4 linked regions of the Caenorhabditis elegans genome follow. The protein of the gene in region 1 purifies or fractionates together with the protein of each later gene. This does not show direct contact. Each region holds a gene or a part of one and is shown in the gene's direction. Other genes may lie near its edges. The genes, in order: lin-40, chd-3, blmp-1 and let-418.

Region 1 (4,654 bases):
GGTCGATATTTTCTCGATCGTCCCGACTTACAAGCCTATTTTGCCCTTTTCAGCCTTGTAGGACTGTTTTGAACTGGATTTTTTCAATTGCATTTCAAAAAAATAGGAAAATCTGAAATTTTGCCGATTTTCTAGCATTTTTAGAATTTTTTGCTACGTTTTCAGTAAGTTTTTATGATTTTTACGTCAAAATTGGCAATTTAGCTGAAATTCATAAATTTCGGCATAAAAATCATAAAAAAACAACGGGAAATTTATCAAAAAATACGAAAAATTCCTGAAAATCGGCAAATTTCCGATTTTGCCGGCAAAATTTTTGATTCCAAGCGGTTTTAAATGGGTTCACTAAATTCTGAGAATGCTGCACAACACATTTGACGAGCAAAATATCTCGTAGCGAAAACTACAGTAATTCTTTAAATGACTACTGTGCGCGCTGGTGTCGATTTACGGGCTTGATTTTCGTAAATCGACACAAGCACTACAGTAGTAATTTAAAGGATTACTGTAGTTTTCTTTTTCGCTACGAGATATTTTGCGCGTCAAATATGTTGTGCAATATGCATTCACTAGAATTTTGTGTTCCCGTAATGGTACCTTTAATAAGTCGGGGGAGCATCCTTCCTGCAGCCTCTTCTCTCTTTTCTTTATATCTCTCGCTCTCTCACTCGTCTCCATTCTGCCCGTCCGTCTGCGTCTCCGTGGTCTCAGTACTATTTCCGACGCTTTAACCATTCTTCCGAGTGACCCCTCCCCACCTATGTCTTCGTCTCTCCCTCTGCTGCTGCTGCTGCTGGACGTTCCTCTTGTTTCTGCGTCTCTCCATGTCTCTCGTTGTCTGAATCTATCCTTTTTTCTAGTTGTCACGGCGATTTATCCGAAAGAGAAGGACCGTTTTCTGGATTTTTTTTGAAATTTAATTTAATTTTTAAAAAACTAATTAATTTCCAATTTTAAAAAATCTATTTTGTTCTTTTTCAAAAAAAATTTTAATAGCGCAAAAAATGCGGATAATTTTTAATTATTTTTTCACTTTTCAGATGATATCGATTTTGTGCACTCAAAAATTATTCGAATTTCTCTATTTTCCGCTTAAAGCTAAAAAATTTCAAAAAATTAATGCTTTTTTTACCGAATTTAGAGTTTTCGCACTGTCTCCTCATTTTTAGTATTTTGGTTATTATCCGGACGCGAAATATTGCGCTTTTTGCTCCAAAAATACGATACCGGGTCTCGACACGACAATTTTTTGTTAAATTCGAACAGGTGTGCGCCTTTAAAGAGTACTATAATTTCAAATTTTCGTTTCCCCGGAATTTCAATCGATTATTCCTAGTTTTTCTGAATTTGAACAAATCGGTGAGAAAGCCTTCGAAAAATCAATAAGAAAAATTCCGCAGAAACGAAAAGTTTGAAATTACAGTACTCTTTAAAGGCGCGCACTTTTTCGCACCACATTTAACAAAAAATTGTCGCTTCGAGACCATTTTTAAAGCAGAAATCGCGAAATTTTGTGCTTTTTGGGCGAAAATGGAGAAATTTAAATAATTTTGATAGCAAAATAAAAACATTTTTTTAATGTAATTTCTCGAATTTTCGACTTTTCGACTAATTCGACTTTTCCCCAAAAAATCCTCCAATTTTTGCAGAGCTTTAACGGGTCACGATGAGCTCATCATCGTTGTCGTCAACATCAACTCGAGTCACGTACGCCGTCGGCGATTTTGTCTATTTCGACGACACGTCGGCCACCGACGCTCCATATCAGATCCGCAAAATCGAGGAGCTTGTCAAGGTTAGATTAGTTGGCTGGAAAAAAAGCCCCAAAAGCCTGAAAAAGCCCAAAATTTCTCAATTTTCAGACAGAAAAGGGCGGCGTGGATGCGCGATGCGTCGTCTACCTCCGACGACGTGACATTCCACAACATTTGCTGAAAATTGCCGATCAAGCGCAGAGGCGATTCGATAATTGTGAGCTTTTCCCCAGCTTACTTTATTTGAAAATATTAAAATTCAATTCAATTTTTTTCAGATTACGAAGTGGATAAGAAGAAGCCCGAGAATTTTACCACAAAAGGATTTATCGTTGTCAATGGAGCTTCTGAAGCTGCTCCAGAAGCTGCTCCAGAAGCCACCGAAGCTTCTGCGGAGACGTCTGAAACAAAAGTGAAGGAAGATACTGATGACGTGGCAGAGAAAATGGAAGAGGACGAAGAATGCCCGGCCCCGGTTGGGCAGGGAAGAACCAGCTCGACTGAGGAGCCATCGGCGTCGGATGCTCCAGCAGCGACCGCAAAGGACAAAAAAGAAGAAAAAGAAGCCAAGGAAAACGCGAAAAACCTCAAGGAGACTGCCGAAGCAGAAGCCACGAAGCTCATTGACTGGGGTGATGGAGGCCTTCCGCTCGGAGTCGACAAGCTCACCCCGGATCAGAGGCTGAAGCTCCGACAGCATGAGATCTTTATGACGAGGCAATCGGAGATCCTTCCAGCAGCGGCGATTCGTGGAAAGTGTCGAGTCGTTCTTCTGGGAGATGGTGAAGAGGCTCAGAACTACCTGCCTCTGGATGATACCTTCTATCATTCCCTTGTCTATGACCCGAATGCGCAGACTTTGCTGGCTGATAAGGGTGCTATTAGGGTTGGCGAGAAGTATCAGGCGGTGGTGGATGAGTGGATGGAGCCCGCCGATCGGGAGGCGAAGGAGGCGAAGGTGCTGGCCGAGAAGGTTAAGAAGGAGGAAGAGGAGGCAAAGTTGAAGGCTGAAGCCGAGGAGGACACTGAGAATGATGGGTTGACGATCGCCGAGGATGAGGAGATGCCGGAGCTGAAGAATGAGGAAAAGGAAGAGACCAAGGTGGAAGAGGAAGCTACCACCACCGATTCCGAAGGTGAAGTAGGTGAAGTCCTCGTCTGGCACCCGCACCACGCTCTCACCGACCGTGACATTGATCAGTACATGATTGTGGCCCGATCAGTCGGCCTATTCGCCCGAGCCATCGATGGAGCTTCCGCGCCGAAGCTTCCGACTCTTCAGCTAGCCGCCGCCTTCGCCTCCCGTGACGTCACCATCTTCCACGCCCACGCGATCCTTCATCAGGCCAACTATGATGTCGGGCAGGCTGTCAAGTACCTGGTCCCAGTGGCCTCTCGAGACACGTACCCGTGCCAGGTCGATGATTCAAGCGGCCTGCAGACTAAGACCCTTGGCGGACCGATTTTGTGTCGGGATCAGCTGGAAGAGTGGTCGACGCCCGAGATGAATCTGTTCGAGGATGCGCTGGATAAGGTGGGCAAGGATTTCAATGAGATCCGCGCCGAGTACCTTCCGTGGAAGTCGATTCGGGACATTGTCGAGTACTATTACCTTATGAAGGCCTCCAATCGATACACAGATCGCAAGAAGAACAAGCCATCGGCGGGTGGTGGAAGCTCGACGACGACGGACGAGAAGTTCACCAACATCTACATTCCGCCGTTCAACAAGCCGATCGCCGCCTCGATTCTTCCGTACAACACTAGCCAGACGACGCTGATGAACAACGACAATCCGTGTGAGAATTGCGGGACGCTGGACGCTCTCAACTGGTATCAGTGGGGAGGTGTCGGCGATAAGAAGGTTCTGTGCTCGACGTGTTGGATTCAGTGGAAGAAGTTCGCCGGGCTCAATCAGAAGCACGAGCTCGAGCGGTTCGACAAGACGCGGCCGCCACCGGTGGAGCCGGTAGCGCCGACGCCAGCGGCCTCAAATGGAACTCCAGCTTCTCAGAAGGCGGCTGCCACGGCGGCGGTGAACACGTTGACTCCACAACAACAGCAGCAGCAGCGCGCTGCCGCCGCCAACATGCTCATGACGCTGAACAGTGGTGATAAGCAGAATTTGTTGAATGTGGCAAAGGAGGCGCTGGCACGTGGCCAAATCACCCAGGAGCAATTTCTACAGCTACAGAAGAATTTCGCTCAGAAAATCCAGGCACAAATTCAACAACAGATTCAGCAGCAGCAACAGCGGCAGGCGCAAACGACGCCGCAAGTGGTCGCAACGCCCAGGGTAAGGATTGGTTGAAAATTGCACGAAAAATCAAAAAAAAAAATTGAAAAACTCAATTTTGGCCAAATTCCCACCAAAATGAGCTACGACCAATAAATGATTCGCTCCGCCCATTTTTCAACCAATCAGCGTCGTCGAATACCGCACATTCCTATGATTGGTTGGAAAATGGGTGGAGCTAATCGCTGATTGGTCGCAGGTCTAATTTCGGAGGAAACTCGGCCAAAATGGTAAAAAGCTCAATTTAGGCTTAATTCTCTTCAAAATGAGAACTGCGACCAATCAGCGATTCGCTCCGCCCAATTTCAAACCAACCAGCGCCGCGCATTCCTCTGATTGGTTGAAAAATGGGCGGAGCTAATCGCTGATTGGTCGCAGGTCTTATTTTGGAGGAAACTCGGCCAAAATGGTAAAAAGCTCAATATAGGCCTAATTCTCTTCAAAATGAGAACTGCGACCAATCAGCGATTCGCTCCGCCCAATTTCAAACCAACCAGCGCCGCACATTCCTCTGATTGGTTGAAAAATGGGCGGAGCTAATCGCTGATTGGTCGTAACTCTCATTATATAGAAAACTGAGCCAAAATCTTTAAAAAACTGCATT
Region 2 (7,533 bases), on another chromosome or scaffold:
TTCAATAAAATATATATTCACATGGTTTCAAATTTTTGTAAAATGTGGTTTGAAGATGGCTCTCTCAATACACATTCCGTTGTGTATTTTTTTTCTGTATACGTGCGTAGTACGTAGTACACATTCAATTTTTTCACGATCGAGTAGCACGTTTATTGTTAACAGTGGTTCTACCGTTTTTATGCTTAGGGATCTGAAAAACTTAATATTAAATTGACGAAATCGACAAAATCGACGAACTGCTTAAAATGATCGGCATTAATTTGCTTCCTTCACTAATTTTGAAGACTACCGTTCTAATTCACTCTTCGATCAGAACCTGGATGAGACTACCAAAAAAAGAGTGCTGCGAATGCGTTCCTATCTATTCGTAGTTTCATTTACAAGGGCACTCGTACCGCTGTGTGCAATGCGCACGTCCTAAAACACCTGTCCTTCGTGCCTATCGATCGTTGGTTAGGTCTCTCATGGTCACTCCATCTTTCGTGTGAGACACGTCGGATGAGAAGACTCCACCCATCTGGTTTCTCTCGTTCTAGCTAATCTGCGGAAAATATTCGTCCGTGCTCGCTTCGGCTCCAGCCTCATTTAATCCACATTGATTTTTCATTCGACGCCTCTCTCCATTGCGAGACTGCAATTTTGTATTTGATAAAAATTTTATTTCCTTGCTCTACTACATCATATTTTCTATGGTTTTCATGATTTTCCCTATTAGCCATTGAGATCCTGTATCATGTTTCAAAATTTGAATAAAAAATTCGATCATTCGACCTTTGTCCTATTTAAAACTTTCCAAAATAAATTGTGACTTTCTTATCAGTTTTCGTCCTCTCTCCACAAAGCTCATCAGTTATTCTGAACAAACGTGAGCTTCTTTCGAACTTTTATGCCCGTTATGTCTTCGTCTCGTTGCATATCTCTTTCTCTCATTTTTTTTTATCTGACCGAGTTCGCAGTAAACAAACACGCCAGCGCGCGCGCGTCTCTGACCCTCACACTAGATGTCCCCGCAATGACGCAACGAGTGGGACACAATGAGACACCCCTGGCGGGACAATCCCCTTATTCAGATTTTTAATGTGTGTCTTCATTAATGTCTTCCAACTAGTCTGGATAATTTTGAAATCCGAAAAACGGGTTTTCTTGAATCTTATTTTCACACTGTGTCATCATCCTTGCGCTATGAGAAAAAATTTTTGTGGAGCATCTTTGAATCTTTTAAAAATAAAAAAAAAATCAACAAATCAATCCGGTCTCTCACAAAATATTTGGCAAAGTAATTCAACTCACAGCCACAGACCGTTCTCAAGATGGAAATTTGGTATTTTTTGGAACTATGCATTTGCGCTCCATTGCTAAGTCCGCATAAAATTTAGGATTTCGGCGGTAAACTTTGTACATAAAATAGATAGGCTCAGTTATTTTGTTGCTTGGTCATTCAATTCTGGTTTTCTTATTCTTCGCTTATTCTCCTCGTAAAAATATAAAGACGAATTTAATAACATTACTTCTTTCAGTAATTCCCATAAAGAACAATGTCAGACGATCAACACGAATCAATCGACGGTGATGAGACAATGGAGGAGGATTCCATGCTAGCAGAAGGTCATGAGGATGGAGAAGAAGATGTCGGCGAAGATGAGGAGGAGGTGGAAACTGAAGAATCTCAGGGAGTTCCGACCACTTCTGAGAAGAAAAAACCACCACCAAAAAAGAAGAAGGGCGGAAAGAAATCTTCGAAAAAGAAAAACAACTGTGATTACCCGGATCCGTATAAGTCGACAAGCGCAGAAATCAGTGCAGCAATAGGATTGACCGACGTTGATGTGGACTATGAGCAGGAGGAATTTCAGTCGATTACCAATTTGAAAGTGAGTTTTTTAATGTACGATTTCTTGTCCTAAACAAAAACTTTAAATTTTCAGAACTTTTCGAGTCTTGTCAAGCCATACATTTTAAAAGTGAATCCCGGCACAAACGTCACAAAGATGTACCCTCTATTTCAAGTAAAATACAAAGAATTTCAAGATCACATGACAGCACACGGCAAATCAATTCAAAAGCAACAAAGAGCGAAGTTTGTTCCGGTACCCGTTCCGGTGACACCTCAAGAGAAGATCATTCCACAGAAGACTCGTTCTTCTGCTCGCAGAAAGCGTCGTGACGGATCAGATGGTGAAGGTGGCGGTCACGACAGTGATCAGGAGTTTGAGGCCTTGATCAAACAACATGAAAAGCAACAAGATGAAGCTGAGAAGGGGAAAGAAGAAGCTCGCATTAATCGGGCTGCAGCAAAAGTGGACAAACGTAAGGCCGCATTGGAATCGGCTCGAGCATCGAAACGAGCACGTAAAGAGCAAGGAGTGGTGGAAGAAAACCATCAAGAGAACTGTGAAGTTTGCAATCAAGATGGCGAGCTTATGCTCTGTGATACTTGTACTCGTGCATACCACGTTGCATGCATTGATGAGAACATGGAGCAGCCACCAGAAGGAGATTGGAGCTGTCCCCATTGTGAAGAGCACGGTCCGGATGTTTTGATAGTTGAAGAAGAACCAGCTAAGGCAAACATGGACTATTGTCGAATTTGCAAAGAAACCTCAAATATTCTTCTATGCGACACCTGTCCAAGCTCTTATCACGCCTATTGCATTGATCCTCCACTTACCGAAATTCCCGAAGGCGAATGGTCCTGTCCGCGTTGCATTATTCCCGAGCCGGCTCAAAGAATTGAGAAGATTCTCAGTTGGAGATGGAAGGAAATCAGCTATCCGGAGCCATTGGAATGTAAAGAAGGAGAGGAAGCAAGCAAAGACGACGTGTTCCTTAAACCTCCCCGCAAAATGGAGCCTCGTCGAGAGCGGGAGTTCTTTGTCAAGTGGAAGTATTTGGCTTACTGGCAGTGCGAGTGGCTTTCGGAGACGTTGATGGATGTCTACTTCACAGCGGTATGTTTGTGTCAGGAAAATTTAAAAAAAAAACTTTTGTTTATTAAATATGATTATTTATTTCAGCTTGTTCGCATGTACTGGCGGAAAGTCGATTCCGAGAATCCACCGATTTTCGAGGAGTCTACACTCTCACGCCATCATTCCGATCATGATCCATACAAACTACGCGAGCGTTTCTACCAATATGGTGTTAAGCCTGAATGGATGCAAATTCATCGTATTATCAATCACTTGTCATATGCAAAGTCTCAACAAGACTACCTAGTCAAGTGGAAGGAGCTATCTTATGAGCACGCGACCTGGGAAAGAGATGATACGGATATTGCCAACTATGAAGATGCGATCATCAAGTATTGGCATCACAGAGAACGCATGCTGAACGACGAAGTTCCTAGAAATGTGCAGAAGATGATTGCTAAGCAGCGTGAAGCTAAGGGACTGGGACCTAAGGAGGATGAAGTCACCTCGAGAAGAAAGAAACGAGAAAAAATTGATGTAAGTTCAATAAATAAGTTTTCAAAATTCACCATTTCGTTTTTTTCAGATCCTCAAAAAATACGAAGTGCAACCAGACTTTATTTCGGAAACTGGGGGAAATCTTCATCCATACCAATTGGAAGGAATCAACTGGCTGCGACATTGTTGGTCGAATGGAACTGATGCCATTCTTGCCGACGAAATGGGTCTCGGAAAAACCGTCCAATCTCTGACATTCCTGTACACACTCATGAAAGAAGGGCATACCAAGGGGCCATTCCTCATTGCTGCTCCACTGTCTACTATCATCAATTGGGAACGTGAAGCCGAGCTTTGGTGTCCAGACTTCTACGTCGTTACCTATGTTGGAGATCGTGAATCGCGCATGGTCATTCGTGAGCATGAGTTTTCATTTGTGGATGGAGCCGTCAGAGGAGGGCCAAAAGTTTCCAAGATTAAGACATTGGAAAACTTGAAATTCCACGTTCTTCTCACTTCATATGAATGTATTAATATGGATAAGGCAATTCTTTCATCCATTGACTGGGCTGCACTAGTCGTTGATGAAGCTCATCGTTTGAAAAATAATCAATCGACATTCTTCAAAAACCTCAGAGAATACAACATTCAGTACCGTGTGCTTCTCACTGGAACTCCACTTCAAAACAATTTAGAGGAGCTGTTTCATCTTCTCAATTTCCTCGCACCAGACCGCTTTAAGTAAGTTTTTAACTAGATAGGGTTTTTTATATCGTTAATTTTTCAGCCAGCTTGAAAGCTTCACAGCAGAGTTTTCCGAAATCTCCAAAGAAGATCAAATTGAGAAACTTCACAACCTGCTCGGCCCACACATGCTTCGTCGTCTTAAAGCTGACGTCCTTACTGGAATGCCATCCAAGCAAGAGTTGATTGTCCGTGTAGAGCTCAGTGCGATGCAGAAGAAATACTACAAGAACATTCTCACTCGCAATTTTGACGCGTTGAATGTGAAGAATGGTGGAACCCAGATGTCGTTGATCAACATCATTATGGAACTTAAAAAATGCTGCAACCATCCGTATCTCTTTATGAAAGCGTGTTTGGAAGCTCCAAAACTTAAAAATGGAATGTACGAGGGAAGTGCGCTTATCAAAAATGCCGGAAAATTTGTCCTTCTGCAAAAAATGTTGCGAAAGCTGAAGGATGGAGGTCATCGCGTGCTGATCTTTTCACAGATGACGATGATGTTGGATATTCTTGAAGACTTTTGTGATGTTGAAGGTTACAAGTATGAACGTATTGATGGAAGTATCACTGGTCAACAGAGACAAGACGCAATCGATAGATATAATGCTCCGGGAGCGAAACAGTTTGTCTTCTTGCTCTCTACTCGTGCTGGAGGATTGGGTATCAACTTGGCTACTGCTGATACTGTCATCATTTATGACTCTGACTGGAATCCTCACAATGATATCCAAGCTTTCTCACGTGCTCACCGTCTTGGTCAGAAACACAAAGTAATGATTTACCGCTTTGTCACAAAAGGATCAGTTGAAGAAAGAATCACATCAGTTGCCAAGAAAAAGATGCTTCTCACTCACTTGGTAGTCCGTGCTGGTCTGGGAGCTAAAGATGGGAAGAGCATGAGCAAAACTGAACTTGACGACGTTCTACGTTGGGGTACCGAAGAGCTTTTCAAAGAAGAAGAAGCTCCAGTTGAGGGTGCAGACGGAGAGGGAACCAGTTCTAAAAAGCCGAACGAACAAGAAATTGTTTGGGATGACGCTGCAGTCGATTTCCTGTTGGACCGAAACAAGGAGGAAGAAGGTCAGGACGGTGAAAAGAAGGAACATTGGACTAATGAATATTTGAGCTCTTTCAAAGTAGCCACTTATAATACGAAAGAAGCAGACGACGCAGATGATGATGAAGATGAGACAGAAGTCATCAAAGAGGGAACGGAAGAGCAAGATCCAAACTATTGGGAGAAGTTGCTCAAGCATCATTATGAACAAGACCAAGAAACTGAGCTACAGAAGTTGGGAAAAGGAAAGCGAGTACGTCGCCAGGTCAATTATGCCAGTGAAAATATGGGACAAGACTGGTCTGCTCAAAATGTGAGTTGTTGTAGTTTCTTTTTTTTTCCATAAATGATAGCCAACGATATTTGTAGTTTTTTTGCTGCCAAGCTCTCACTCACAACTGCGGCGGCAAATACGCTCTGTTGATAAAAAAGCGCATGCCACATGAAACCACAAAAATATTTGCTGACCAAATTTTGATTAGTTCTGAAAACCAAAATAGTGAGGGCATGTTATTAAATTTATAATTGAAATGCTTATAAAGGAAGATCAATGTAGTTGTTTTCTTGATTTTTAAATTTTTAGAACCAACAACAAGAGGAAGATGACGGCTCAGAATACGGATCCGACAATGGGGAACTACTCCAAACTGACGAAGACTATGAGGAAAGGCGCCGACGTCGCGAGGAACGATCCGAAAAGCTTCCACCACTCCTTGCCAAGGTCAATGGCCAAATTGAGGTTCTCGGATTCAACCCACGTCAACGAAAAGCCTTTTACAATGCTGTCATGCGTTGGGGAATGCCACCACAAGACCTCACCCAATCATCATGGCAAGTTCGAGATCTCAGGAACAAATCGGAAAAAGTGTTCAAGGCGTACTCATCCCTCTTCATGCGCCATCTGTGTGAGCCGGTTGTGGATAACAGTGACTCTTTTATGGATGGTGTTCCACGTGAAGGTCTCAATCGTCAAGCGGTTCTGAGTCGTATCGGCTTGATGTCGATTCTGCGCAAAAAAGTGCAAGAGTTTGAAAAATTCAATGGAGAATGGTCAATGCCAGAGACACGTGAAAAGATGTTGGCCACCGCAGCTCAAGCATCAGTTTCGAATTTACCTGGAATGATTAAGATCAAAGAAGAGCCAATTGATATTGATGAGACTCCGATGGATGTTGATCAGTCCAATATAACTAAAACAGAAGAACTTGCCAGTGAAGTGAAAGTCGAGGAGGAACCCAAAGCTCCTCGTTTACCATACAAATTTAATATTTGCGATGGAGGATACACTGAGCTTCATAGTCTTTGGATTAATGAAGAGAAGGTGGCTCGCAATGGAAAAGAGTATGAGATTTGGCATCGCCGGCACGATTTCTGGCTTTTGGCAGCTGTGGCAGTCTATGGCTACGGACGTTATCAAATTAACTTCCAAGATATTATGAATGATCCGAAATTTTCGATTGTAAATGAGCCATTCAAACAAACTGGTGCAGATCCTGCCACTAATTTTGCTGACGTGAAGAACAAGTTTTTGGCTCGTCGTTTCAAACTTCTCGAGCAATCACTGGTCATTGAAGAACAACTTCGTCGTGCAGCTCACATCAACAAACAACAGTCTCCTGACCAAGTTGGCCAATTGGCTCAGCATTTCTCGGAGCTGGAGCACACTGCTGATGCTCACGTCAATATTGCAAGAGAAAGCAACAATGGAAACAGAAATGCTAACGCGATTCTTCACAAGTGCCTTGCCCAACTCGATGATTTGCTTTCCGACTTGAAAACCGACGTTGCAAGACTGCCAGCAACAATCTCTCAAGTTCGGCCAGTCACCGAAAGACTTCAAATGAGTGAACGACAGTGAGTGATTAACGAGAAATATATAAAACTGGAATTTTATTCTTTGCAGAATTCTATCGCGCTTAGTAGTCGCCAAGGATCCCGATGCTGCTCCAAGCAAGCCAGCACTCCCACCAAGCGGACCATTCATCACACCTTTGTTCAATCAAAACTTCACCACTATCCAGCCAAAGTTTCCTTCTCTATTTGACTGTAATTTGTCGCCTGATGATGAACCTATTGATATTGAAGGATCAATATCTGCAGCTGTCGCCGAGGCATCCCGAGCATCATCAATTGCTGCAACGAAGGATGGTTAGTGGCTAATGTTCAAACTTCAAGTTTGAGATGACAAAATTAGCAATACATTTTATTGATTTCAGAGCCAATGGATACATCTGACAAGGATATTCCCTCAACGTCAGCAGCTGCTGGTTCGTCCTATCCGAGATATTAAGCCACGTGGATTTTAACTTTGGAATAACC
Region 3 (7,929 bases), on another chromosome or scaffold:
TTCGAATGCCAAAAGAAACCAAAAGCTTTTGCCCCCTCTCCGACGGCGCGTTCCCTTCTTTTCTCCTTCTTCCAACAAACATTGGCTAAAAGAGACGATCCTCTCCTCGAATCACTTTGGCGGATCTCTACAGGCCCGATATGCAAGAACAGGTTCAAGGGGAAGAAGAAGCCTCTCTGTGTCGTCGTCGTCGTCGTCCAGCAGCGTCCATTATGCAAGAGAGTGCGCGAACAAATGGGGGGAAACCGGTCCCTTTCTCTGATTCTCTGATCCTCTCTTCAATCAGTGATCTCTCTTTGCTGTGTACAGCCATACCTCACACTCTTCGGAAGAGAAGAAGACCACCGTCGAATCCGAATCCATGGATGAATGGTCGTTGCGCGCGCGCGAGCGACAATTCTCGGGCGGCGTCATGACTGACCGTGACTCTGCATCTCTGAAATTTCAATACTATTTATTATCCTTTTCTACCGTAATCCATTCTCTCACTCTCTTTGCTTCCAATTCGTCCCATCCAACAGTAGTAGCAGCAGCTATTTTCTCGCTTTTCCCCCTTTTGTACAAACTCTTATTATTCATCTCCTCCTTTTTATGAACGATCTTCCTTTACAATTTTTTTAGTACATTTCAAATTTGATTTCATATTTGCCAAGCTACCGTATTCTTTTCCCAAATCCCCACATTTTTTTGTTTGAAAGTTGTCGGCTCCTTTTCTGAATTCTGAATCACACGTGTTTCAAATGAAAAAGACAAACAGATCTGACCCCGCCTCGCTCTTTTTCTTCTAAACTTTTAACTTTTTTTTCTCACCCGTCACTTTTTTTGAAAGTTGCCAATTTAGGTTTTTTATACAAGCTCTGGAATTTGTGCCCGCGGTGATGGGAATTTTCGAGGTTTATGAACAAAAATTATGTGAACAAGCTTGAATTTTTCTGAAATATTAAAACAATCTTCAAATGAACTTGTTTGGTTTTCAGTTCTCCGGCACATATTCCTGAGCAACTCCCGTAGGCTTGAAATTAAAAAATTAAGTTTTTTCAAACTTAGCCAATTGTTTTAGTTTTTATTGTTTAATACGAATTATTGGGAGTATCTAAAGCAATTTGATGCAAAATCCCCACAAGTCATAGTCCGTCTTTAAGGGTATTCCCTATATTAGTATTAAATCGGACTGCTCACCTTTTCAGCTAATATCTTGGTTTTTTGTTTAGATATCCGAAATTGCACAACTGCAGAAATATTGAAAATTAGTCCGCAAATGTTTTTATAGTTGACAGTTTTTTGATACAACTAAAGAGAACCGAGATATAAGCCGCGAAAGTTGAGCAACGAGGTTACTTGTTGGATCGACAATATGCATACCGTATTCCCTTGACATCTTAAAAAAGTTTCAATTCAGAAGCTCAACTCTGAAATTAACTTGGAATTGAAAAAAATTGAGCTATTGAACTACTGCCTCTTCAGATTTTTCTTGAGACGTTGACGCCTGACTTATGCCTGTCTACCTCTTATATTCTGTAATTTAGGTTTTCGTTCAGTTCTTGTTGACTTTTTCAGTAGGCAGTATTGAAGATAGGTAGGCAGGCGCACATCCCGGACGCCTTAATAAGTTCCTCCTTTAAAAAAAACATTAATCTATTATTGCACAACCTCCCATCATCTAACCCACCTACCGTAATCACCAACTTTCCCTTTTTGCTCTTCTTAACTCTGCACTCTCCTCGGTCACCCAGCTATTTCACCCCAATTCTTCGAGTTCTTCCTTATCAAGGTCTTTTTGACAATTTCGGCGCCGTTTTCCTGATTCTCGCCCTCGCCTTTTCCCTCTCCGTGCTCTATTACTCTCTCGCTCTTGTTTTGAAACTTTTATTTGAATTGGTTCACTTTTAATTTGTCTTTCTTTTTGCCAAAAATTATTTTTATTTTACCAGAATCATGTTTTCAATTTCAGAAAATAAATCTCTCTTCTCTTTTCCTTCGATCTCATTTTAAACAAAACCTGTAAAAAATGGGTCAAGGAAGTGGGGATGACGGTGTTCCGCCGGCACCGTTCTCTTCGGCTGCTGCGGCAGCTCACTCACCACCTCATTCTCCCCTTTCTGTCGGCGTTTCTTCTGCTTCATCTGCCACGTCATCATCTTCCACACCGCCATCATCCACGTCACCTGCCGGAGTTTCAGCGTCAGGTAAGTTGTGATAGGATACTGTAACTCGGCCCCCTTGGCAGCCATCCGTGATCTACATTTGCGAAGAAATCGAATCAGCCAAATTCGTTTTTCTTCCCTCCACTTCTTTTTTTTCCTTTTCGGATTTCTTATCAAATTTCAATGCCGCCAAGCTTATCATCGCCGCGCTATCACTTATCATCAAAATGTTCTTTTCCCTCTTGAACTAGACGTGGACACCATATAAAAAAGAACAAATGAAAGTGAAAACAAAAAAAACAATCACTTCAAAATTTAAACCGAAAGAAAAAACTGTGAAGCTGTCATTTTATACAATGAACATTTTAATTTCAGGTGCGAGAAACGTTGAAACTGATTGGAAGCAGTCGGGAGATGAGAATCTTGCCGAATTATGTATATTTCATGTTCCAGACAAATCTGTTAGTTTGGTGAGTTCGTATTTTATAGTCTATAAAGTTTTAAAAACCGAGCCTGCCTGCCTACATGTATATTTCTCTAAAAAAATGGTTTTGGAACAAAAAGTTCTCTAGAAATTTGGAAAGTTCAAAACGTTCCATAGAAAGTTTGAGATGTGCACTAAAAAGTTGCTTTTTTGCCGACCGTTTTTTTGCCAGGACTACAAAAATAGTATGAGAAAGTTAATATACATCGAAAAAAACCATTTCAATTTTAATTCCATTTATTTTCAGCCAAATCCAAAGCGAGCAGAATGCACACTTCCTATGAACCTAATTCTCAAGTCCTCCTCAAAAAATCGAAAGAAATCGTCAATATGGTCATCTGATCATATTCCGAGAGGAGTCCGATTTGGCCCGCTCGTTGGAGAAATTCGTTTGGTAGATGTTGACACAGCACTTGTATGTCCTGCTGAAGCATCAATGGCTGGAGGTGGTCCAGCTCAAGAAGATGTTCCATTTGATGAAGCTCCGGAAGAGTGGAAGATCTATTCTCCATCAGGTGGCAGATTGAATAAAACGATTTGTGTGAAAGATGATGCGAGATCAAATTGGATGAAATACGTGGCAGCTGCTGAAGAGGAAGATTTTCAGAATCTTGTTGCTGCACAAATTGGAAATGATATCTACTTTTACACAGTTAAAAAGATTGAAGCAAATACTGAATTATCATTTTGGTTCAGCAGGGACTACGCAAGGAAATTAAATTATTCAACAAGACCATACGTAAGAGTTCGAAGGCCAGCTACTCAACTGATTCCATCTGCACCACCAGCTTCTGCATCAACTGCAATTGCGAGTTTAGCAGAAACAATTGTGGCAATTGATTATTCAGTTAAAAAACTCATTGAATCACCCATTGATACACTCTCTACTGATGCTTCTTCTGCAAGTGACGAAGAAATGATTGATGTTGAAGAGCAGGAGAGCTGTACACGGCCTGTTGCAGAAGTCACACGGCCTAATGTTATCCAGAATCCAGTTGTGAGGCCTGTTGCAACCAAAGTCAATAATTTCCCGGGAATACCCGTTCGACTTGGCAATTTTTATGCAAGTCCGTTGGTGGATTTTAAAGAGTTCATGAGGAAATCCCTTCAATTAAGTGAGTTTATTAATCCCACTCTGAATCTCTGATAAGCTGAAATTGAAAATTTTGAAAATGTAACACTTTTTTTTGAAGTTTTTTTCACTGGAGATGCAAAAAGTTGCTTAACATTTTGTTAACAAAACTTATCAGAAACAGCTAAAAACGCCATATGTCCTTGATGGGGATTAAGCTTCTGTCGACAAACAAGATACATTTGTATACTTTTTTTTTGTTTTTAACACATCAACTTAAGTTTAACAATATTTTCAGTTTGTTAAAATTGTTTCCTCAATCAATTAAATTATCAAATTGTTTATGCTTTACTATACTTTTTAATTAGTGATCTACCTGTTTTCGGATTTTCGGCAGCTTTTATCCCGTGCGGATGTGGTTTTATCAACGGAAAAGTTTTCAAAATACATGTTGTATGTTTATTCATAATTTTATAGCTTACTGTTAACTGCTAAGTTAAAAACAAACTGGGGCGTCCTAAAAAGTCCTGAAAACAATTGAACCCTATTTCAGAACTAGTTGATACCTCAATGTTTGTGTCCCCTGTTGCTCAAACAACAGCCGCAATAACTGCCACTGGTGGAAGATCCGGCCAGCCGATTGATGTGCAGCCAGTACTTGCAGCAACTGCAGGAGCTCATTTTGGAAACTATGCAGCAATTTATGGGAGTCAAGATTTCCAGCATGAGCTATCAAAACCTCTGTACACATCTGCGTCTCCAGCATTCGGAGGTGGTGGTGGTATGGGTGGAGGATTTGGAATGGGTGGAAGTGCCCATACTTCTTCATTTCATCAACTTCCATTTGTTAATCATTCGTCTTCATCACACAATGATTCATCATTTAATGGAGTTCCAAATGTAAGTTTTACCAAAGAAGATTTTTAATTTGTTGAACTTGATGGTTGATGGGAAAATATTTTGAAACATTCTTTTTAAAAAACAGTTGATATTTAAATGTTTAATACTAGATTTTTTAATTTTTTTAAATTATATATTTTTTATAATTTTTGACCCTGCCTCTATTTATCTCTACCTTTTATCTCTACCTTTTCTATGTTGATCCCAATAAAATTAGCAAAGTTTTGATACATAAATCAATTGATTACCGGGTGCTTTTTTGTAAATCTTTTTCAAATCAGGGCGCAAGGAGGGCGATTCACACGCCTAGACCTGGTAAAATGTCTAGTTATTCCTTTTCATATTTTCTACATGAAAATAAATTTAAATTAAAATTTTTCAGTACGTGCAACAACAGGAAAATGGAAAAACGAGATACGCTTGCAAAGACTGCAACAAAACATTCGGACAGCTTTCGAATCTTAAAGTTCATGTCAGGTTAGAACTTTTCTTATTTTCCAATTATTTTTTTACTTTCAACATTTCAGAACGCACACCGGCGAACGTCCATTCAAATGTGAAATTTGCACAAAAGAGTTCACACAGCTTGCTCATCTTCAGAAGCATCATCTTGTTCATACCGGAGAACGTCCTCATCGCTGTGATATTTGTGATAAGCGATTCTCGTCGACTTCTAATTTAAAAACTCATCTTCGACTTCACAATGGTCAGAAGCCGTATACGTGTGATGTTTGTGATGCCAAGTTCACTCAATACGTTCATCTAAGACTTCATAAACGTCTGCATGCAAACGAAAGACCGTATAGTTGTGGAACATGTGGAAAGAAATATATTTCACCGAGTGGATTGAGAACTCATTGGAAAACAACTACATGTAAAGAAGAGGATATGAAAGACTCGATGAGGGATGATTTAATGGATATCAAAGGCGAAATCGATGAAGGATCAATGTCAGGGTCGGGTTATGGAAATCTGGGAATCTTTGAAAATACACTGGTAAGTAATGAAGATTATATCGAGTTATACATGTTCCGCCGTTTTTTACAAAATGGAAACTAAGTTTTAAAAAGTTGATCAAATTTTTAATACTGTCCAAGTTTAAGTCGACAACGTTTCCTCTAATAGTATTGACCCACTTTTCCTAACTTTGTAAGTTCATATCTTAGTTGCCTATGGTTTTATCGAAAAATTTCTAACTGAGAAAATATTGAATTTGTGAAACATTTGGAAAAATATCTTTAGTGGACCGAGATATGAGATGTCAAAGTAGAGTAAGTGGGCGCAAGACTAATAGAAGAAATACGGTCGTGAATAAATTTTTTTGCTCGAGTTTTAGTTTTCGAGCTTTAGAAGAAATCAAGTAAATTACTAACAACAGCTTTGCTTCTGCTTACATTTTCACTGCTTTCAGAACTCCGAACTCAAGCGGCCACTTATGCCAATCGAAACCATTTATAGTGTAAGCTTTTATATTCGGCTTCATCATGCATACAAATAAATATTTCTTATCTCACTTTCCCATTCTCATCCTACAATTTTCAGAAATACAATCTTCCCAACGCCTCCCTCCTCGGTCAAGGTCCAAGTGGAATGCAAGAACAACAGGCTCCACCACCAACATCTCAACAGCAGCAACACATGATGTATGGAAACACAATGGGACATATGGGACAAGGATCCCATCTTCAGGGGCCACCACCACCTCCACAACATTTCCAAATGGATCATAGTGGAATGCAGAATGGAGGAGGTATTCCACATCAACATCAACTTATTCAAGGAGGTCCATCATCTGGATCTGGTCAACAGCAACATCCACAACATAATGGGATTCATAGGCTTCCTGATTTGAAAAATCCCCTACTTCCAAGCCTCGGATTGCCGCATTATCCATAATTATCATATTTATAACTTTATGAAAACACTACCCGTCTCCCACAATCCAGTCATATCATTTGTACTTGAGCTTCTGTGTAGGAATTAATGCCTCCACTGCGTGCCTCACAGCACTGCCTATTTTGGTAGAATAACGCAAATTTCATCTGAAAAAAGTTAATGTGAGAATGTAGATATAGAAAGATGTTTGTTAAGTTCGAAAATTCATTTTATTTCTATATCCGGATATTTTTCTATATTTTAACATTAATTTTTTATTGAAAAAATAATTTAACCAAAATTAGCAGTTTTTGGAGTGCCTGTAGGCAGGCGTGTAGGCATTTTATACCTACACAAGAGCCCCTGCTTGCTTCTCCAGCATCTTAGCATTTTCATTTTTTACTATGCTACTCAAATATTTTCAGATCCCTTTTACCAGTTTGTTTATAAGCCAGGTAGAAAACAATTAGATCAATTTTTTTCGCAAAATCTCAAATTGTTCTTACACCTTCCTGCCCCTTTCTCCATCCTCCCATTCCAGAACGAGTCTCTCATAATATTAATTGTATTCAAAAACTTCAAATTCAAATAATTCCACAAAGAACCTGAGTTAAAGTTCAAATAGTTCGTTTCTCAAAATTATCAGATTTAATATAATTATTTTTTTGAAATCTTCCATATACACCGCCTAAACCTATATTATCTTTTCATTCTCTCATTGTCTCTTGCTTTATCAGTCCCCTTTCATTCTTATCACTGTCAAAATTTTCTATTTTTTATTCAACAATTTCCATCAAAATCTTCCGGCATTTCAACACACCTATCTGTGATCATACTTTCATTATATTTTTGCAATTTCTTTCTAGAAGTTGTTTCTATTTTCTAACTTTTTCAAAACAATATCTTGTCTAATTTTGTATGTATATATATAAACTTTGAAAACTTGATAGGATTACATACATACTAATTTTCTCGAAAATTTCCGGCAAATCGGCAAACCGGTGAGGTGCCAAATTTGCCGGAAAAACGGCAAATCGGTAAGTTGCCACAATTGAAATTTCCGGCAAATCGGCAAACCGGCAAAGTGCCGAATTTGTCGAAATTGAAAATTTCCAGCAAATCGGCAAATCGGTAAGTTGCCAGAATTGAAATTTCCGGCAAATCGGCAAATTGACGGAATTGAAATTTCCCGATTTGCCGTAATTGAAAATTTCCGGCAAATCGGCAAACCGGCAACTTGCCGGAATTGAAATTTCCCGATTTGCCGTAATTGAAAATTTCCGGCAAATCGGCAAACCGGCAACTTGCCGGAATTGAAATTTCCCGATTTGCCGGAATTGAAACTTCCGGCAAATCGGCAAACCGACAGCTTGCCGGAATTGAAATTTCCCGATTTGCCGAAATTGAAATTTCCGGCAAATCGGCAAACCGGCAAAGTGCCGAATTTGTCGAAA
Region 4 (7,904 bases), 2.1 Mb from region 1:
ACAACTTTGAGTAAAAAACGATGACACATGCCTGAAAATGATGTTGGTTATATTTCCTTTGTACAATTTGTTTTTGGGAACTTGGGGATCTTGCTTTAAAATATTCAGAATTAGTCGATTTCTGTAAAAGCCAAATTACCAAATTTGTGGTAAGTTGACAGATATATCATTTTAAAGTTTGGACATTTGAGTACTCTATTATGTCAACACAAAATTCTGAGAATGCGTATTTCACAACATATTTGAAAGTATCTCATAGCGAAAACTACAGTAACACTTTAACTGATTACTGTAGCTCTTATGGCGATTTACGGGCTCTATTTCAAATGCCTTGTGCAATACGCATTCTCAAAATTCTGTGTTCCCGTAATATCACTGTTTTCGAACATTATTTTCCAAATTACACTTTTACAATTTTGTAGAAAATCTAGCAGTTTGAGAAATTTTTTCAGAAGTTAAGATATAATTTCTAGAAGCTTATAATAGGGCGAATCTAAAGCGTTATACTGTTAATTCGAAATATTAAATGTTATTCAATCATTTAAAATTGCCACGTTTTCAGAAGGTCAAGGTAAATTTGTTTATCCTTGATTTAAACATTATGAACATTTTATTTCTTTTAAATTATTTTTAACTCGCATAAACACGTGTTTTGAACTTCTAGATCTTTTTCTTCACTGCCGTGCATCGATTTGAATCATTTTCCGCTTTTGCGCTTTCAAGGGAGGTCCATTTATGCGAATGGGTCTCGCCGCGCTAAGTGCATTGATTTTAAAATGTTGTGTGTGCGTCTTAACGTTTACTGTCCCGTTCTTTTTTTTTTAGCTTTTTCCCTGTTTTCTAAGGTTTTCCTAGTTTCTGAAAAGAATTTGTATATCTTTGTATAAGAATTTGTATATACATGCTGATTCAATTAAAAATTAGTAAAGTTCCGAAGAAGAAACCTATTTTCGGGAGCTATGCAGGTGCGCTCCATTGCCAGCAGATGCGTTTTGTTCAAATGTTTTCTTTTTCATTTTTTTTTGGCTCGCTTTTTGGATTCGCGTTTCCTCTCAATTTCCGCAATTTGATATTTCTAAGTATACAAGTATATTTCTAAAATCGTCATAAATATTTGCTCGTAATTTTCCCAATTTTAATTCAAAATTTTAATTCTATCAGGACGGTTCACAGTTTTTACCTGATTTGAATCCTGAAATAGATCTAATTTACTAGTTTTTTTTTTAATCCGTAATCCAACGTGTTTTTAATTTTCTGTGAACAACATAATTCTCAACTCAAATTAGTAAAGGGACATGCCACGTATTAATAATTTTCGTTGCGGGAAACACGACGCTGCATTTGGTCACTCTTACGCGCGAAGACGGGTCATTCGAATTTCCATCACTCTCCTCTCGTCTCTCTTTCTCTGACCACCGTCCCAACGAGCTGTGTCCCCGTTCTGCAATGTCCCCGCAGTGTCTCGTCAAATGGGACATATGGGGACATGAAATTGTCCCGTTTCGAATCAATATTTGTTTGAAATATGTTTTTGAATACGGCTATTTTTTCTAACTTTTCTTGTAATAATTGCATTTTCTCGATGGTAGATTTTAGAAAACTTGAAACGTAGGTTGTAAAATAAATTTTAAAAAATTTAAAATAGCTTGACGAGCTTAAATTTAAATTCCTACTTTAGGAATTTAATATTTTCAAAATTTTCTACGTTTTTTAGAAAAAATTAAGGCTTAATCTATCAGCCCAAAATTTACACTCAACTCTGTGTGTTATTTCGTCGCCGTGTTTGCAGACTTTTCACACTTTCAAATTTTGCTGATTTGCATTCGAGCTTTCTAATTTGTTCTCTTTATAATGTCCTTCTTGCAATTATTTATGTCTTACTTATATTAATCAATTTTCAGAAATTGTATTTCTCCTGAGAATTCAACAATGTCAACTGAAGAAGATCCGTCTTTAGTGGACGCGGAAGAATCAATGGAAGAGGGTTCTGTCACTCAAGACGCAACTGAAGAAACAGAAGAAGAGGAAGAACAAGAGCAAGGCGATGAGGCTGGACCATCTGAGCGAAAGCGTTCTTCTAGAAAGAAAGGCGGAAAGGGAGGCAAAAAAGGATCCAAAAAGAGTGCTGCCGCAGCTAGCAAGGTTGAGATTCCTGATCCGTATAATTCGACAAGTGAAGAAGTTTGTGCTGCTATCGGATTGACAGACGTCGAATTTGATTATGATGAAGAGGAGTTTCAAGGAATTTCTAATCTGAAGGTGATTATTCAAAATTTATTTTTTAAATCTCGATTTCTGTTTTCCTCCAATTAAACATCTTTTTTACAGACTTTCTCCTCAATCATCAAGCCACAAATACTGGAGGCAAACCCCGGAACCAACGTATCCAAGATGTACCCGATGTTCCAAGTCAAATATAAAGAGTATCAAGATCACATGGCTGCCCAAGGAAAACCTGTTCAAAAACAAGCTAGAGGTTCAAAGACTCCAGCAGTTTCCACACCCGTCATCCCTCCACGATCAGCTCCAACGAAGACTCGTTCTGCAAGGAGAAAGCGTCGAGATTCCGATGCTCCTGATAGTGATCAAGAGTTTGAGGCATTTATTAAGCAACAAGAACAACTGGAGGACGATTTGGTAAAAGACAAGGAAGATGCTCGTATCAAACGTGCAGCGGAAAGAGAAGAGAAGAAAAAAGGAGCATTGGAAGCTGCTCGTGCCGCTAAAAAAGCAAAATTAGAAAAGGGCGAAGAAGCTGAAAATAATGACTACTGTGAGGAGTGCAAGCAAGATGGAGAACTTCTTCTTTGTGACACCTGTCCCCGCGCTTACCATACAGTCTGTATTGATGAAAATATGGAAGAACCACCAGAGGGTGATTGGAGTTGTGCTCATTGTATCGAACATGGCCCAGAAGTAGTTAAAGAAGAACCGGCGAAGCAAAACGATGAATTCTGCAAGATCTGCAAAGAAACTGAGAATCTTCTGCTTTGTGATAGTTGTGTATGCTCATTCCACGCATATTGTATTGATCCTCCACTTACCGAAGTTCCGAAAGAAGAAACATGGTCGTGCCCACGGTGCGAGACGGTTAAGCCGGAACACAAAATCGAAAAAATCCTTTGCTGGAGATGGAAGGAAATCCCGTATCCAGAACCTCTCGAAGCTGGGAAAGAGGCTTCGAGTGACGATGCGATGCTCAAACCACCACGGAAAATGGAACCAAGACGTGAGCGTGAATTCTTCGTGAAATGGAAGTATTTATCATACTGGCAGTGTTCTTGGGTCTCCGAAATGCTGTTGGAAGTTCATTTCCGTATGGTGAGTTTTAAGTGATGAAGTCCATTTGACTAATGTTTATTTTTCCAGCTTATATTGCTATATTGGCGCAAAAATGATTCCGATGCTCCTCCAGAATTTGAAGAATCCGTTACGTCTCGTCATCATTCTGATAATGATCCTTATAAATTGCGCGAGCGGTTCTACCAGTATGGTATCAAACCGGAATGGATGCAAATTCATCGTATTATCAATCATCAATCATATGCAAAGTCGCAGCAGGATTACCTTGTTAAGTGGAAGGAGCTCAGCTATGATCAAGCCACTTGGGAACGAGATGATTCTAATATTGCCAATTACGAAGAAGCAATCATTAAATACTGGCAACATCGTGAGAGCAAATTAAATGAGGATATTCCTAAAAATGTGCAGAAGATGATTGCTAAACATCGCGAAGCTAAAGGTCTTCCTCCAAAAGAAGACGAAAAGAAAAAGAAGAAGCGTGAGAAGATTGACATCCGTAAAAAATATGAAGTTCAGCCCGACTACGTTACGGAAACCGGAGGAAAACTTCATCCATATCAACTGGAAGGACTTAACTGGCTTCGTCATTGTTGGTCCAACGGAACTGATGCGATTCTCGCTGATGAAATGGGTCTTGGGAAGACTGTTCAATCGCTTACTTTCTTATACAGTCTCATGAAGGAAGGCCATTGCAAAGGACCATTTTTGATTGCCGCTCCTCTATCAACTATTATCAATTGGGAGCGTGAGGCTGAACAATGGTGTCCTGATTTCTATGTGGTCACTTATGTTGGTCTTAGAGATGCTCGTGTTGTGCTCCGAGAACATGAGTTTTCTTTCGTTGAAGGTGCCGTTCGATCCGGACCGAAGGCTTCAAAAATGAAGACGACAGAGAATATGAAGTTCCACGTGTTGCTCACTTCTTATGAGACTATCAATATGGATAAAACTATACTTTCTTCCATTGAATGGGGAGCTCTTGTTGTTGATGAGGCTCATCGGTTAAAGAATAATCAGTCGTTGTTCTTCAAAAATCTCAATGAATATACTATTCATTATCGCGTACTTCTCACCGGAACTCCACTTCAAAACAATTTAGAAGAGCTCTTCCATCTCCTCAATTTCTTGTCCAAAGAACGTTTCAAGTAAGTTTCTGAATTTTTGTGTATTTTATTTTATTAATTGCATTTTTTCAGTCAGCTCGAGGCTTTCACTGCCGAATTCAATGAGATTTCCAAAGAGGATCAAATTGAAAAACTTCATAACTTGCTCGGACCTCACATGCTTCGCCGTCTCAAAGCTGATGTGTTGACTGGCATGCCATCGAAATCAGAATTAATTGTTCGAGTTGAACTGAGTGCTATGCAGAAAAAATGGTATAAAAATATTCTGACTCGCAATTTTGATGCATTGAATGTGAAGAATGGAGGAACTCAAATGTCATTGATGAACGTCCTTATGGAATTGAAGAAATGTTGTAATCATCCATATCTTTTTGTGAAGGCAGAGTTGGAGGCTCCGAAAGAGAAAAACGGAATGTATGAAGGAACGGCGCTCATCAAGAATTCCGGAAAGTTTGTTCTTCTTCAAAAAATGTTGAGAAAGCTGAAGGATGGTGGCCACCGAGTGCTTATCTTCTCACAAATGACAAGGATGCTGGACATAATGGAAGATTTATGTGAATATGAAGGATACAGATATGAAAGAATAGATGGAAGTATCATGGGACAAATGAGACAAGATGCTATCGATCGTTACAATGCTCCTGGAGCTCAACAATTTATTTTCTTGCTCTCCACTCGAGCTGGAGGTCTTGGTATCAATCTGGCAACTGCTGATACGGTTATCATATATGATTCTGATTGGAATCCTCACAATGATATTCAAGCTTTCTCTCGTGCACATCGTCTCGGACAGAAGCATAAAGTTATGATTTATCGTTTTGTAACAAAGAAATCTGTCGAAGAAAAAATCACTTCAGTTGCCAAGAAGAAGATGCTTTTGAATCACTTGGTTGTACGTGCAGGATTGGGAGGAAAAGAAGGAAAGACAATGAGCAAGACTGAGCTGGACGATGTGCTTCGATGGGGAACCGAAGAGTTATTCAGTGAGGATCTTGATGCTGCCGAAGGCGAAGGCTCGGAGAAGAAAGGTGCTGCCGCACAAGAAATTGTTTGGGATGATGCAGCTGTAGATGCTCTTCTCGATCGCAGTAACAAAGAAGAGACTCCAGCAGGAGAAGATGGCGAAGAAAAAGCTGAATGGCAAAACGAATATCTAAGCTCGTTCAAGGTGGCCAGCTATCAGACAAAAGAGACTGAAGGACAAGAAGAAGAGGAGGAAGAGGAAACGGAAGTGATTAAAGAAGATGAGAAAGAACCAGATCCAGATTATTGGGAGAAGCTGCTCAAGCATCACTACGAACAGGACAGGGAAATCGAATTGCAAAAGCTTGGAAAGGGAAAACGTGTTCGCAAACAAATCAACTATGCCAGTGAGAATATGGGAACTGATTGGAGCAAGCAGGTTTGTTTTTTTTCTGATTAATTGGGTTTTTCTGATTAATTTCTGATTAAACATTTAATGATTTTTTTCAGAACCAAACCCAAGATGATGACGATGATAACGAGTCGTACCGTGGTTCGGACAATGGCGACGGCCTGAACTCTGATGAAGATGATTACGATGAGAAGAAAAAGCGGCGTCGTGATGAAGAAAAAATGCCTCCACTCATGGCTAAAGTCAATGGACAAGTTGAGATTCTTGGTTTCAATCCACGTCAACGCAAGGCGTTCTACGGGGCTGTTATGCGCTGGGGAATGCCTCCACAAGATTCTCATCAATCTCAATGGCTTGTTCGAGATCTGAGAAACAAATCGGAAAAAGTCTTCCGAGCTTATGCTTCACTGTTCATGCGACATCTCTGTGAGCCTGGAGCTGATGGTCATGATACCTTTAATGATGGAGTTCCAAGAGAAGGTCTTAATCGTCAGCATGTTCTTGGCCGAATCGGATTGCTGAGTTTAGTTCGGCGGAAGGTTCAAGAATTTGAGCAATATAATGGCCAATGGTCTATGCCTGAAATACAAGACGAAGTTCTCGCTAAAGCTGCCAATGGTTCGGCACAAGGATCTTCAAGAAGTACTCCGAAACCAAAAGAAGAGCCGAAGGAAGAACCAATGGAAAAGGAAGATGCTACTGAAACAGTTAACGGAGCTACATCAGAGCCAGCTACAGATGCTGAGAGTGAACAAAACGCTCCTGTTGACGAACCAATGGATACAGATGAAGCCAAAGAACCGAAAGAAGAACCAATTGAAACCGAGAAACCAAGAGCAGCCCGTCCATCATTCAAGTTCAACATTTGTGACGGTGGATTCACTGAACTTCACTCTTTGTGGGCCAATGAAGAGAAAGTTGCAAGAAACGGAAAAGAATATGAAATCTGGTACCGCAGACACGACTATTGGCTTTTAGCTGGTGTTGTTGTACACGGATATGGACGTTTCCAAGCTAATTTCAATGACATCATCAATGATCCCAGATTCTCAGTTCTCAATGAGCCATTCAAGGAAGTTGGCGCTGAGGCAACAGGATCTGACATCAAAGCCAAGTTTATGCAACGTCGTTTCAAACTTATTGAACAGTCCCTTGTGATTGAGGAGCAACTTCGTCGCGCTGCACACGCCAATCGTCACTTGCAGCCGGATAATGTTGGACCATTGGCTCAACGTTTTGCGGATTTAGAGAATATTGCTGAATCTCAAGCTAATATCGCCAAAGAAAGTTCTGCTGGAAATCGTAATGCGAATGCCGTTCTACACAAAACATTGGTTCAGCTCGACGAAATACTTTCCGATATGAAGGCCGACGTGTCTAGACTTCCATCTACTTTTACACAGTTAGCGACTGTCACCGAACGTCTCAACATGACCGAGAGACAGTAAGTTTTAACTCGTAAAAGCTTCAGTCAATATATGTATATATATTTCAGAATTCTTTCGCGACTGACCACAAAAGACGAGGACGCGATAGCCAACCGTAGCGTACTTCCACCACCAGGACCATTTGTAACTCCAATACTTCGCCAGCAGATGGATGGCATTCAACCAAAGTTTGCAGCTCTTTACAGTAAATTCATGTCTGAAAATGGAGAAAGGATGGAAGAGGATGAACCAGTAGAGGCAGAAGAGGAAGAAGGTGTAAAACAAGAACCAGATGATGAGACTCAAGATAGCGCCGAAGCTCCGCCAGTTCTTAGTGCAGGTTAGTACTAATTCATATGGATCTTAAAATAACTCAATGTATTTCTATTTCCAGAAGTGAATTCCGACGATAGCAACGATGTTCCATCTACTTCCGCTGCTGCTGCTGTCAGTTCTGAAACAGCTGCCGACGCCGAACCAGCTTCCGCCGAAGATCAAGCTCCAACAGATGAGCCAGAACCAATGGAAACTTGAATGTCTTTTTAATTTTATTGGGTTTTACTGTATTTTTTCAAACTTTAAACCATTATATTATTTATTGTTCTCTTTTTAGTTGCATCAATTGAAATGCAATTCAAATAATTGCGTCATGAATCTGTGTAAACGTTTAATCCT

Evidence for each region.
Region 2: the proteins of lin-40 (region 1) and chd-3 purify together in Caenorhabditis elegans (affinity purification with western blotting, with the first as the bait; one study listed by BioGRID). This does not show direct contact.
Region 3: the proteins of lin-40 (region 1) and blmp-1 purify together in Caenorhabditis elegans (affinity purification with western blotting, with the first as the bait; one study listed by BioGRID). This does not show direct contact.
Region 4: the proteins of lin-40 (region 1) and let-418 purify together in Caenorhabditis elegans (affinity purification with western blotting, with the first as the bait; one study listed by BioGRID). This does not show direct contact.

The regions. Positions count from the first base shown.
Region 1 is NC_003283.11:3,703,346-3,707,999, forward strand, and holds the start of lin-40 (DIOX_N domain-containing protein), read left to right. Parts: upstream 1-1,649; 5' UTR 1,650-1,666; coding exon 1,667-1,795; intron 1,796-1,862; coding exon 1,863-1,971; intron 1,972-2,032; coding exon 2,033-4,050; intron 4,051-4,654.
Region 2 is NC_003284.9:12,846,589-12,854,121, reverse strand, and holds the start of chd-3 (Chromodomain-helicase-DNA-binding protein 3 homolog), read left to right. Parts: upstream 1-1,520; 5' UTR 1,521-1,538; coding exon 1,539-1,874; intron 1,875-1,928; coding exon 1,929-2,951; intron 2,952-3,017; coding exon 3,018-3,449; intron 3,450-3,498; coding exon 3,499-4,151; intron 4,152-4,197; coding exon 4,198-5,527; intron 5,528-5,797; coding exon 5,798-7,068; intron 7,069-7,117; coding exon 7,118-7,362; intron 7,363-7,430; coding exon 7,431-7,504; 3' UTR 7,505-7,533. UniProt on the Caenorhabditis elegans protein: ATP-dependent chromatin-remodeling factor that has a role in notch signaling-dependent vulval cell fate determination. May also have a role in pharyngeal precursor cell specification.
Region 3 is NC_003279.8:10,407,351-10,415,279, forward strand, and holds blmp-1 (B lymphocyte-induced maturation protein 1 homolog), read left to right. Parts: upstream 1-1,951; 5' UTR 1,952-2,008; coding exon 2,009-2,186; intron 2,187-2,519; coding exon 2,520-2,614; intron 2,615-2,875; coding exon 2,876-3,743; intron 3,744-4,253; coding exon 4,254-4,600; intron 4,601-4,982; coding exon 4,983-5,077; intron 5,078-5,127; coding exon 5,128-5,596; intron 5,597-6,011; coding exon 6,012-6,059; intron 6,060-6,142; coding exon 6,143-6,496; 3' UTR 6,497-7,423; downstream 7,424-7,929. UniProt on the Caenorhabditis elegans protein: Transcription factor which binds to enhancer elements in the promoter region of genes. Regulates the expression of the transcription factor bed-3 to control vulval development.
Region 4 is NC_003283.11:5,824,932-5,832,835, forward strand, and holds let-418 (Protein let-418), read left to right. Parts: upstream 1-1,901; 5' UTR 1,902-1,929; coding exon 1,930-2,259; intron 2,260-2,328; coding exon 2,329-3,321; intron 3,322-3,369; coding exon 3,370-4,448; intron 4,449-4,499; coding exon 4,500-5,829; intron 5,830-5,900; coding exon 5,901-7,246; intron 7,247-7,297; coding exon 7,298-7,569; intron 7,570-7,623; coding exon 7,624-7,763; 3' UTR 7,764-7,900; downstream 7,901-7,904. UniProt on the Caenorhabditis elegans protein: Part of a NuRD (Nucleosome Remodeling and Deacetylase) complex which is implicated in the synMuv B pathway that negatively regulates specification of vulval cell fate.